Nothobranchius furzeri: one gene and its partners. The protein of the gene in region 1 purifies or fractionates together with the protein of each later gene. This does not show direct contact. Links are inferred from orthologs where the notes say so. Each region holds a gene or a part of one and is shown on either strand. Other genes may lie near its edges.

The links.
Region 2: the proteins of vamp8 (region 1) and synaptosomal-associated protein 23 purify together in Homo sapiens (affinity purification with western blotting; 3 studies listed by BioGRID and IntAct, with this or other methods). This does not show direct contact. The link is inferred for Nothobranchius furzeri from reciprocal best matches to the Homo sapiens genes VAMP8 and SNAP23.
Region 3: the proteins of vamp8 (region 1) and stx12 purify together in Homo sapiens (affinity purification with mass spectrometry; 3 studies listed by BioGRID and IntAct, counting the BioPlex papers as one, with this or other methods). This does not show direct contact. The link is inferred for Nothobranchius furzeri from reciprocal best matches to the Homo sapiens genes VAMP8 and STX12.

What each region holds. Positions count from the first base shown.
Region 1 is NC_091757.1:27,703,439-27,707,193, forward strand, and holds the start of vamp8 (vesicle-associated membrane protein 8), read left to right. Parts: upstream 1-1,192; 5' UTR 1,193-1,378; coding exon 1,379-1,393; intron 1,394-3,755. UniProt on the Homo sapiens protein: SNAREs, soluble N-ethylmaleimide-sensitive factor-attachment protein receptors, are essential proteins for fusion of cellular membranes.
Region 2 is NC_091758.1:23,385,975-23,389,729, reverse strand, and holds the start of synaptosomal-associated protein 23, read right to left. Parts: upstream 2,238-3,755; 5' UTR 2,019-2,237; coding exon 2,011-2,018; intron 1-2,010. UniProt on the Homo sapiens protein: Essential component of the high affinity receptor for the general membrane fusion machinery and an important regulator of transport vesicle docking and fusion.
Region 3 is NC_091751.1:25,527,656-25,531,410, forward strand, and holds the start of stx12 (syntaxin-12), read right to left. Parts: upstream 2,765-3,755; 5' UTR 2,643-2,764; intron 2,568-2,642; exon of another isoform or gene 2,440-2,567; intron 2,100-2,439; 5' UTR 2,059-2,099; coding exon 1,965-2,058; intron 1-1,964. UniProt on the Homo sapiens protein: SNARE promoting fusion of transport vesicles with target membranes. Together with SNARE STX6, promotes movement of vesicles from endosomes to the cell membrane, and may therefore function in the endocytic recycling pathway.

The DNA of each region.
Region 1 (3,755 bases):
TTTTGTAAAGTCCCTTTTATTTTTGTTATGTCCCTTTTGTTTTCACGTATCTATTTTATGTTGTACATAGATGCTGTCATGTTATTCACTAAGCTGTTGGTTTTGGCTGTTGTATTGACGAGACTGTAATCCTCAACGAGAATATGTATCTTGTTCAATTATAAATAAAGAACATGGCGACTGAATGGGGAGTTCGCTGCGGCTCTTTCCTCTGTTCTAGATGACTTTGGCACGTCTTTAAAACAACAAGTAGAAGCACTAAAAGCCTTACTTCTAAGAAAGATGGCGCTGTCGCCAGACGCCATTTTTGACTACAGCTAAAAAACTACTGCATTGCGCGGTACTGTCTGCATTTCTGTCTTTTTTGTGATTGGTGATTTTTGAGCTTCCTAGTCCCGCCCCTCAAGTGCCTCTCTGCCTGTGAGGAACCAGACACTCTCTGCAGGATTAAACAGGACCAGTCTGGCAGGCCAGGCTAAAACCTATGAGGAAAACACACACACAGCACTCACTTATGAGTGTTATTGTCTTGTTTAAAAGCTGAACCACTTTCTATGTAACAACTATTATTACATTATAATAGTTTAGCACAGATGTCTGCTGTGGTGAATAAAAAGTATTTATTTAAAACTTAGGCCTACTGCTAATGTGAATTTGTTATGTTTGAATTGCTCTTATTTTTGCAGACGTTTGTTTAGTTGAGCATCGGATTAAATCACAATCCAACTCTCACCACTGACTCACAAATCAGCAAAGCTTCAGACAAATAAACGGATGAATAAATATTCTATGTGCCCTTGAAAGGTAATTACACTCAGTTTATCAACAGCAGACACAATACAGGAGTACATCTTCTAAATAAAAGCATAGATGTTTCACAATAAAACAAACGATGGCCCAGGTTCATAACAAAATGTATAAACGCAGAAGTAAAAATAGGAAGAGCATTAAATAATTAAATAAATAAAATAATACACAGTTTAAAAAACTTAATTAAAATCCAAGTGATTTGGTTAACACGTTTTATCTCCTGTTTTAAATTATGAAACAAATGTAGTACCGTTTTATTTTATTTAACTTTTCTAACGTAATGCTTGTAAATGTTAATAAACTTACTTTAAACCGTTTAATGAGCTTCACGTTTATCGCTTTAATGAAACCGGATGTGGGTTTGAGCTGAAAACTCGAAGCGAAGGAATTCAGAGTGAAGAGAAAAAAACAGGAAGTGAAACCAAGGAGGAGCGAGTGAGAGAGAGAGAGAGAGAGAGAGAGACACCTGTAGGAGCGTCAAACTTTTAGGTTTTACATCATTTTAAAGGTTTTAAACTAAAGAACCGTGTCTGTGGGTCTTCTGAAGGAGGATCTAGTTTCTGACAGGATGGACGCGGACCCGGTAGGTGATGTTTTTCTTGTTTTGTTGCAGCGACTCCATAACGAGGCGCCATGTAAGGAGCAGGTGTGTTTGTTCAGGTCACATGAAGAAAATGAATAATGTTTGAGTTGAGGGGACACCTGTAACTTACGACCCTGTTTTCCCTGAACAATGGCGTCCACTCGGAAGCTGCTCTGCGGTCCTGCTGTTGGACATTTACTTAAGTTAATGTTTGAAAGTGTGAAGTCGGTGTTTAAATGAGCGTTTTAAACGCTGTTGCAGCTTAAAGCTGTTTGTTAGCTCAAACTTAGCTAGCTAACTTAGCTCAGAGATGCTGTAGCATCTTGTTCCTGCTGGCTGGAGAGGTCAGAGGATCAGATACTTCAGAAGGTGGAAATAATTTGTTTTGGACTGAAACCTTGGTCTGTCCACATACGTTTGGTGTGTTTTCTAAGCAGGCGTGCAAACAACAGATGTAAAAGTAATGTTGTTGCTATTTAAGATAAACTGATCTGTATCATCTTATTTTTTCAGGGCATCATCATTGAGGCACTTGGATTCAATTTCTGTAGTTTTGAACCACTTTAGGACACAAACAAATGTTTTTTTATTCTGGTCAGCTGGATATCTAACGGTGGTTTTTGACTGTTAAATGTTTGTGACCAAGTGAGAAAAGCTTTGCATGCAAATCTGAAGCAGGACTGATCCTCTGCTGCTGCTGGGAACAGAGGTGTTTCAGTCTTTATAATAGAGACAGAACAGATTAAAGCTGAAAGATCAGGATTTACACTCCATTCAAATCTCACATGTGCTCACAGATTAAGGGAATTTCACATTTGACTAGTTAAAGAGTCGGCATTTTAAATGGCTCACTGAGGATATAGGTTACATTTATTTTGCAATCAAATGAAAGTTTTCCTTTAAATTTACCTTTTAAATCATAGAGACCACATCTGTGCCAGCTTTGTAGTTGCCTGCTATCTAATTTTATTTCCTCTTAATCAGGTTTTACTGGAAGACCCAAGTTCGTCTTCATCTGCTTCCTCTCCAGCACATGCTGAGCTCTTTTAAATGAATCCTACCATCTTTATGCAGATGGCATCCAACTGTACATCTCCTTTAAGAACCATGAGATGTCTAAGCTACAGCTGTTAGTGTTTCCCCTAGGGATTTTTCCAGCTGTGGTGGTGGGGGGGGTAATGACACGACTCACCTTTATGTTAATATTGTTTTATTTGATGCACTCCACTTTGAACTACACCAGTACAGCAACTGCTGCATTTTAATGACTAGTATTGAAGGTGAATACCTCTTATTTATTATTGGAAATCCTTACTTTGGTTAAATAAATCAGTTGTTGAACCCCCCACTCCTCTGTTTGGTCTCCTTTCTTATTACAGCCCACCACTTCCAGTCTGGGTTGTAACAATCTGCAGACAGATTTCTGAGCATCTCCTCCTTTGGTACACAGATCCTCACTGAGCCATGTACTGTGAACAAATAGTTTCTCCGTGATATTATCCAGCAAGATCTTGTTTTTGTCAAAACAAGGGTGAGGTAATGAAAAAATAGAAATATTTCAATAAATTAACATTAAAATTATTTATATGCATAATTAAAAAAAAACATGTTTTGAAATATATAAAGTGCACCAAACTTGACTCAGTCCATTCAACAATTCTAAATGGACAATTATGTAACTCATCAATTAATTATTTGAAAGGATAATTTGTCAATTAAATGCTGAAAAAAATAAACAATACATTAATGAGGCAAGAACTTTTTAAACTTGGACATACCTACACCCACAAGTCTATTTTTACCTGGTTAAAACCATCTAGCTTATGTGCACTTTTTAAAACACTGCCCAGCAAACATTCGGACGTTTAATGACAGTTGAACGGTCACAACTGTAAAATAATATCACAGGAATTAGGAAAGAATAACATGACATCAACTCTATGTCCCTTGGCCGGACTCGAACCTGGATCCTCCAGAGTGAGAGTCACCCGCTCTCCCAGCTGAGCCATGACAGCAACTGCTGAATCTCAGATTTTTTTATACAGATAGCTAGAGAGTAAAGTGCGGAGTAAACTAACCAATCAGAGGACAGGGAAGATCTGCCACAGGCCACGCCTCCAGAGTGCCAAAACTCCTCACAGCCGAGCGAGCGGAATTAGAAACCGAGCGCGCAGAGGCTGCCGAGCGCGCAGAGAGGCTGCCGCGCGCGCACGTTTTCCTCTGCCGTGTGCTCGTTGGCAACGCGCGCACGCAGGTTTGTCACTTGTGCACATCCTTGTGCGCTCACAGACACAGTTTGCTCCCTCTCAGTGCACAAATGACCTCTCGCCATGTATATTTTCGCTCGCGAGTCCCGTTCACA
Region 2 (3,755 bases), on another chromosome or scaffold:
AAACTCCACAGAGACACAATGTCAGGCCTGATTAATGTCGCTGATCAGATTTTGTAAACAAATATGAATAAATAAATCATGTGCAGGTCGTAAAATTTTGACAATGTGATTATTTTCCTTTCTAAAATGAGGTTGTTTTTCCACATTACTGCTGTGCAGCGTCGCTCTTGGTGGCTCCCAAAGTAATAAGTTAATTATTAATGACTTCTGCTCGGTTTGTTTAACTTTGCACACCAGTTTGGGTTATTTTCAGCATTCTGAGCTTTTAATTTCATCAGTTATTCTTTTTGTTTACCCGTTTTCTTCTGTTTTAGAAACAACGACACTAGGAAGTGGAGAAAATGTCCAACATGCATGAGTCTAAATGTTAATTATGCAATCTCAGCTAAACCCATTTAGGCTGGACACTTACGCCAGTTTGGTGACTCAACATGTAGCTGCTGAGCAAATCAGGATAACCGTAACCACTGGCTGACAGCTCAGAGCAGGCTCTGTCCAGATCTGAATTTAAACGCCACCGTCATCAAAAGCTGGTGACTACAGCAGGAACCGTCAACGTCCGGACGTTTCGCACCCTGAATTTAGTTTTCATCTAACAAAAACATGAACGGACTTCATAAAGTCTGAGCAAACATGGAGGATGAAGACAGATGATTAGCATTAGGTGATAGGTGTTGTGTCACTGAGGCCAGGCCCAGAAATGGTATTAATAACTTGGATCACAACAAGAAAAATGACAACAGTTTAAAAGAGACTATCTTTAAGGCTGGAGTGACACATCTGGTGTAGCAGCAGCCTTAAACAGACTTTTTCACATGACACGAGAGCTAGTTTGTCACAGGAAAAGGCTCAAGCCTCTGCTCTCTGACACAGGCATAAACACGGCCCGTTTTTTTATTCCCACCCAAACGTTTTTGATAACATAGAGGAAGTAAAGCTCTATCCGCTTTTCTGTTTCTGCTCTTGTCAGACCGCTTTCCTTTATAGTTCAAGTGACATTTTCCTGTTTTGCAAACGGCCTCTGGACTTCAAGATTCCCTGTTAAAAGCAGGAAAAAAAATGAGACGGAAAAAGTATAGTCTACTTGGCAGATAGTTCGGGGGATTTAATGTTGTTGACTCTGCATTTTTTGTTTTCTTTTTTTATTAGACCACAGCGCAGAAGGTTCACACAACTCGTGACAGTTTTTTTTCTTTCTTCCCAGAGCACTGGTGTGACTTTACAACTCCAACACTAAATTTATTTACACGTACAATACACAAGAGCTGTAAACAACAGAAATGTAACCGGTCAATAGGGTCAGTTTGAGCTGATTGTAAGTTTAGAGACGCACCCCAAAATCAAATCAGTTGATTGGCCGTTGATCTGAAATTTGAAAGATGTATTCTGTAAAATGGGGTTAATTGCAAACTGCCAAAATTTGTATCAGCAGGTCAGAGCTGCATTATCAAAAAATTAAACAAAGCAAATATGGATGATTCTCTAATGATGTTACCCTTTAAATAAATGTGGTCATTTGTCTGCATTCCTATAAATTAATTTAAAACCAGTGAATTTAGAGCACCCCGTAGACCTGCTTGTGCTGTAAATCCAATCAATGAACATTTTCTAGTTGTAACACATTTTAACAGTGATTCTGTGTTTGTTGGCGTTCTAAATAACATTAACTTTTCATGCTCAGTTAGTCAGGAATTAGAAGAAAGTTCAGGTAAAAATGCTTCAGGTGTAGGAAAATTCAAATGATAACGTCCAGCTGATGTATTGCGTACGTTATTGATCGCCATGTTCGTGAAAACTCAGACTCGTGTGTAGATATTGCATAACTCCTTTTAGGGAACTGGTTAAGCACACATCAAGCAGGTATGCTGGATTTATAAAATACTTAATCTAATTAAGTTTTTAATATAATCTAGTTTTAGTGAGGACTATAATATAGACATGAAAATAACCCAGAGACCTGAATTAACAGGCGCACATGTAAAGGTTTATGCAGAAGTTTTAGGGACATACCTGCTCATGTTGTAGACTCCTCACAGCAACAACAGAAAGTGACAAACAACAGAGAAAAGCGTTTCTGGTTATTCTACTCAAACCTGTTCCTCCAGATCTAAACTAATGCTGAACAAAGTGACGTCTTTTCTTATTCTCATCACGTTCACCTCGTATTTTTTATTGCCTTTTTTTTACTCTCTGGTCAACTTTATGCTTACCTTTATAAGAAAACCTTACAAGAAATTTGTTTAATTTGTTTTTATTTCAATAGGTAAATAAACCGAGAACCAGTGTTCAAAAACAAGCTGACCAATGACATCATGGTGTATTTCCATTGCCTGAACCATGACCTTTTATTTCCAGATTTATAGATGACGCTAATAATCCAAAAGTATCAAAACACTGAGTGTGAACTTGACAGCTGGCTATTTATTTCCGCAATATTTAAAATAGGAGCTACTTTGTTTCCACTCCTTTGCCATGACAAAAGGTTATGTCGAAAAGAGCAATACAAAAGTCAAATATTGTAAAACAGTGCACTCACATGACAAGAAAGTATCACCTGAGAAACAGGTGATGTTCAGCTGAAAGAGACATATTAACCAAAACACCTGAGCCTGAAAATAACACACCCACGTTAGCAAAAGTTATGCCCTTAACAATAATCAAAACGTCATAAATAAGTTTAAACAGAGGAAAAATAAAACTTTATGAAGTTTTCTTACATTGTCCAAAAAGTTGCAGTAGCTCCCCAGCTCTAATAAAGGAAATAGATCCTCTGGGCAACTTGTTCACCTAGCTAACGTGCTGTTAGCTTGCTAGTTTTGTTAGTTCCGCTTCCCTGTCAACCCCCTAACGACAACACCCAAACTTTGATGGGAGGACAACGTTAAGAGATACTTATCAGGTCTGTTAATACTTACTGTTAACCTTCCTTGTGAAAAGACCGAACTCGCAACTCCTCCTTTCGCCACGGTATGTAAACTTGGCACTGGTTTGACCAGAATTCCTCCACTGAGTTCGTCGTCTGGGGACTTGAAAGTATGTCGGTTGGTGCATTCATGTACCCTCGGAAATATAGCTTTCTTCAAGGTGAGACGCTTCAGAAGTTCTTAAAAGTAATAAAAACACGTTTAAAATAGTTCAGAAGCTAACTGTGATAATTATAAATCTTTTTTGCGTTCAAAAATTTCACATTATTTTCACTACATCAAAATTCAGTCATATTTGTTTTTTAATAGCTTGTTTATATCTGAAGGTATTTAGTTTTAGCTCTTTAAAAAGAGGAATGAAAATCATATTAAATTCGTTTATTTATAGGAACAAACACTGTATTTAACCAGACTGTGTAAAACTTTTGGTAGTTATGTTTCTTGTGCTTTGGGTGATCTAAAACCAAAACGACGAGTACTTGAATGCAGCACAGGATGGTGCTGTCATAGGACTCCAGAGAGGAGAAAAAAAGAGCACTGCTCAAGTTCCCCACATGAGTGCAGCATTTACCCTTCACCCAGACCCCCCCCCCCCCCCATATTTTACATGAAGACAGAACGCCAGATACATTTTTCTCCATAGAGCTTCTAAGCGATGCTCTGAAATCTGAGCCTCTAGCAATGAATCTGCTGTGTAATTCCCAAGCTTTACGCTTTAAACCACAAAAGCCTTTTCAAGGTGACTCCAAAGATACTAGGCAATGAGCCAACCAACATATCAGCTGACAGTGTCTAAAAGGCAAGTGTTTCTATCTCCGTTTCCAAACAACT
Region 3 (3,755 bases), on another chromosome or scaffold:
CCCCGAGCCGATCCTGTACCGACACCGTGTCCTCTACATCTGGATTTTTCTTCCAATCAGATTTCAGCCTCTATTGATGCCAGGGAGAGTCCAATCTGCCCAAAGCGTTCAGAATCAGTAGAACGGGCCTTTGTTAGTTATACCATATAGTAGTGGTAGAGTGATTTATCGCCCAATGCCAATATACAGTATCTCCTTAGTAAAGCAGATTTAAAGTCAGGCACATCCTCAGGCAGCCTGGTGCTGCTGCAGAGTTATGTTCCTGAGTAACTTCTGCATAACAAATAATTTTGTTTGATTCACTTGAGTTAGATGTCTGATTTTAACACTGAGCCGTGCACAAAATTAAGGTTTAACAGTTGGTTAAATTACAAGTTCAAAAACTGATTTAGCTTCAGAAATTTTGTGTATCAACTGATGTCTAGATATCGGCCATCAGCTGACCATTAGCTCTGCTTATCGGCATCAGTAATAGAAAATCCAACATTGGTTAACCTCTACTATGGGATCTGGTTTTTTTAACCAGTGAGCTTTCAGAATCACATCGCTGAGCCAGGTAGTTGGCTCACGGTGACATCAGGGGTTTTTTGTCCTCCGATTGGTCCGACGGTCTGAGAGAAGCTATCTCTACCAAGTGTCGCTAGCAAAACACATTCTTGTGAGCCATGCACATTAATACTTTTGATGTTACTTATTTTTTATGCCCACAATGGCTGATGGAACGGGATGAATGGATTTGGTCTCAGGAAGTATTCCATTTTCAAGTCGTACTTTCTCAGAAAAGCTGGACATGCTAGCCCGCTGACGGAACTAAAACACAGAAATCAGCTTTATATCACTTAGGTTTTCCTGCAAAAAGTGAGAAGTAGGGGTGCACCGATTGCAGTTTTTGGCCAATCACCGATCTTGAGAAAAACCTGACTTGCCGATATCGATTTTGTCTTAACGAAAAGCAAATTATATCAATGTTTCAATTTCCTGTCATTGAGAAAACCAATACAATACTCATTAAACAATACCAGTTTCAACTGGACATGAGGTAATGTTCTCAAATGTAAATTAACATATTTAGCATTGTTGTTTGAACTACAAAATCATATTTGTTCCTTTAAGCCAGGCGGGCACTGTGCGACTCTTTCACTTTTTTGAGCCGATTTTCCCCTCGTGCGAGAATCTACAAGATCGGGGCAAGTTTTGTGCAGAGCGTCGTGTAGTATACAGGTGGTTACGAGAGGCAATTAACACCACGTGACCAGCTACCTATCAGCAATCGTGAGCTCGCACTGATTTCTGGCATGTTTGATATTTTGCTCGTCCCTCGTGAGGGTTGAAGCAGCGCTGCGAGTGGCTGCAACCCAAAAAGTACCAAAACCGCTCACGGCGCATGCGTCATGCGTCAGCACGGCTTGCCAGCTATTTCTCTATTAACACATGTCGTTTGTTTTTATTTCTACACTGTTTTTCACACACAATGACAAGAAAGCATGTTTGCCATGTTTATGTCAAATTAAACAGTTCACAAAACACTGATTTACTTTCTTTCTTTCATTATCCTCATCCAACCCCCATAAATCCCTGTGTGTACTCCTGCAGCACTCCAGAGGGACAACAGACATCAGTAACAACACAAAAAAAAATTCCCCTCATAATTATTAGTAATTGTTAATAATAATTAAGTGACACCACACCCTGTTACATACTCACTCCCCCCTTATTATTAAATAATTTTGTTGTAAAACGAGAAACTGATCATTCATCAAGAGACCTGCTGTTCACACCTCTGAAGAAATAACATTAAAGAAGCCAAAAAGACTGAAGTGCGACCCTGGAGAGATGATGATCAGTGGATAATACCGTGGGGATAACAAACAGGCTATAAAGCTCATTCACATGGTCATCACGTGACCATGTGGCATGTGATTTCCCACCAGGCTGAAGCGCGAGGAACAGGAGAAACCTCTTACTGTTCTGTGTGATCTTCTGGATGTTTGAGCTGCAGGACTGGATGAGAAAGCTGAAGTCCATGTGAACCGGGCGGAACTCCGCTTTTCCGTACATGTTTGCGACTGTTAGGAGCTTCCTGACACGTTAAACTGGAACTGCAAAAGAAAATGGAACAATAAACATTGCATTATTGAACGATTTGGCTTAACGACATAATGGTTTAAGTAAGTTTTAAGGGTCTAAAGATTTAAACTCGTTTCCCTTTTTGACTCTGTCACGCGTATGAATGACGTTTGATTATTTCAGTAATGAGCTCAAAGGTCCAATCAAGTCAGATTATCACTTATTTATCACCGCTAAGCAGTTAAACTAAATGTAAATGTAAACAAATGTCCGAACACCGAGTTAGCGAACAGACCAGTTTGCTGTTTAAACGCCTTTAAATTAACCCCATAATTAATCAATAACAATAAGGAACGGAACACTTCAACAAACCGTCGTATCTGTTTAGCTCAGCTAGCGTTGTGTTGGTAGAACGGAGAAGCTAAACCTTCGTTTTAGGCTAACGGTGGCGAACTTGTCTACTTTCGTCTTTTTACAGTAAAAACTGCTCGTAAACTGGACACGCAGAGCGTGGTCAATTAAAACAAAGACGAAATTCTACATTAAAACAAGGCATCATGCTGTAATTTGCTTACTAATGTATTGAAATCGATACATGGGCGTAGATGACTCGTCCTCCGTTAGGTTGATGCTATATTGCATTAGCGCTAAGACCTCACAGACCAACACACCCTAACAACCAATACCAGGATGCTACTTCAACAGCTCAACCAATCACAATGCAGCGTCCCACCCATTTTATCACGGCCTCCAATCATAGGTCAGAGAGCCAAACCTACTTCCTGGTCCGTGGTGTTTTTTTAATTTATTAATTTTTTTTACAGGTTTTATTCAGAAAACACATTCAATAAATCCATGGATCACATTTTACAGTTGTTTAGAATTGCAATAATATACATGCAACATTAGGAAACTATTAAACAAAAAACCAAGAAATAAAAAAAACTGACGAAAACATATATAACTTAGAAACATAACACTTAGGGGTCTGCTGTGTCTAAGTTGAAATGATGAAATAAGTTGATGGTCTTTGTTAGTTTGTTGTTCTTCATTTTTAATTTTTCAATGCTGTTCCAATATTTCATAAGGTCTGTAATTCTGAAATTATAGAAGGGGATACTTTTCTGAAAAATCATTTTATGTAAATAATATTTTGCTAAAATAATGACTAAGTTAATTATGTATTTTTCATTGGATGATAAATGAGGGTTAGTAACAATAAGAAGTATTTCATATTTGCTTAAAGAAATATTTTTTTTGTAACTTTTTGGAAATGTATCTTTTTAAATGGAACCAAAACAAAGTTACATGAAAGCAATCAACAAAAACATGTTCAATAGTTTCTCCCTTACAACCACAGAAAGTACATATGTCAGAAACATTTGGAAAAAAATACAGATGTTTGCTTTTGACGGGTAATATCTATGAACAATTTTGAATCAAATTTCTTTTATCTTATTCACAATAACATATTGGTGAGGTAGCAGAAAGATCCTGTTCCAGAGTTTTGTATTCATAAAAGTCCATCAGTGTTTACATATCGGGGTTGAGACAGGATCAATTACTTTTCTAATAACAGAATTATTAAATTTCTTATCTGTGATTGGAATCCCAGAAATAGTTGGAGGTCTGGCTGTTGCAGATAAGATGATGTTTGATTGTATGGTCTGTGTTAAATAGAAAATACA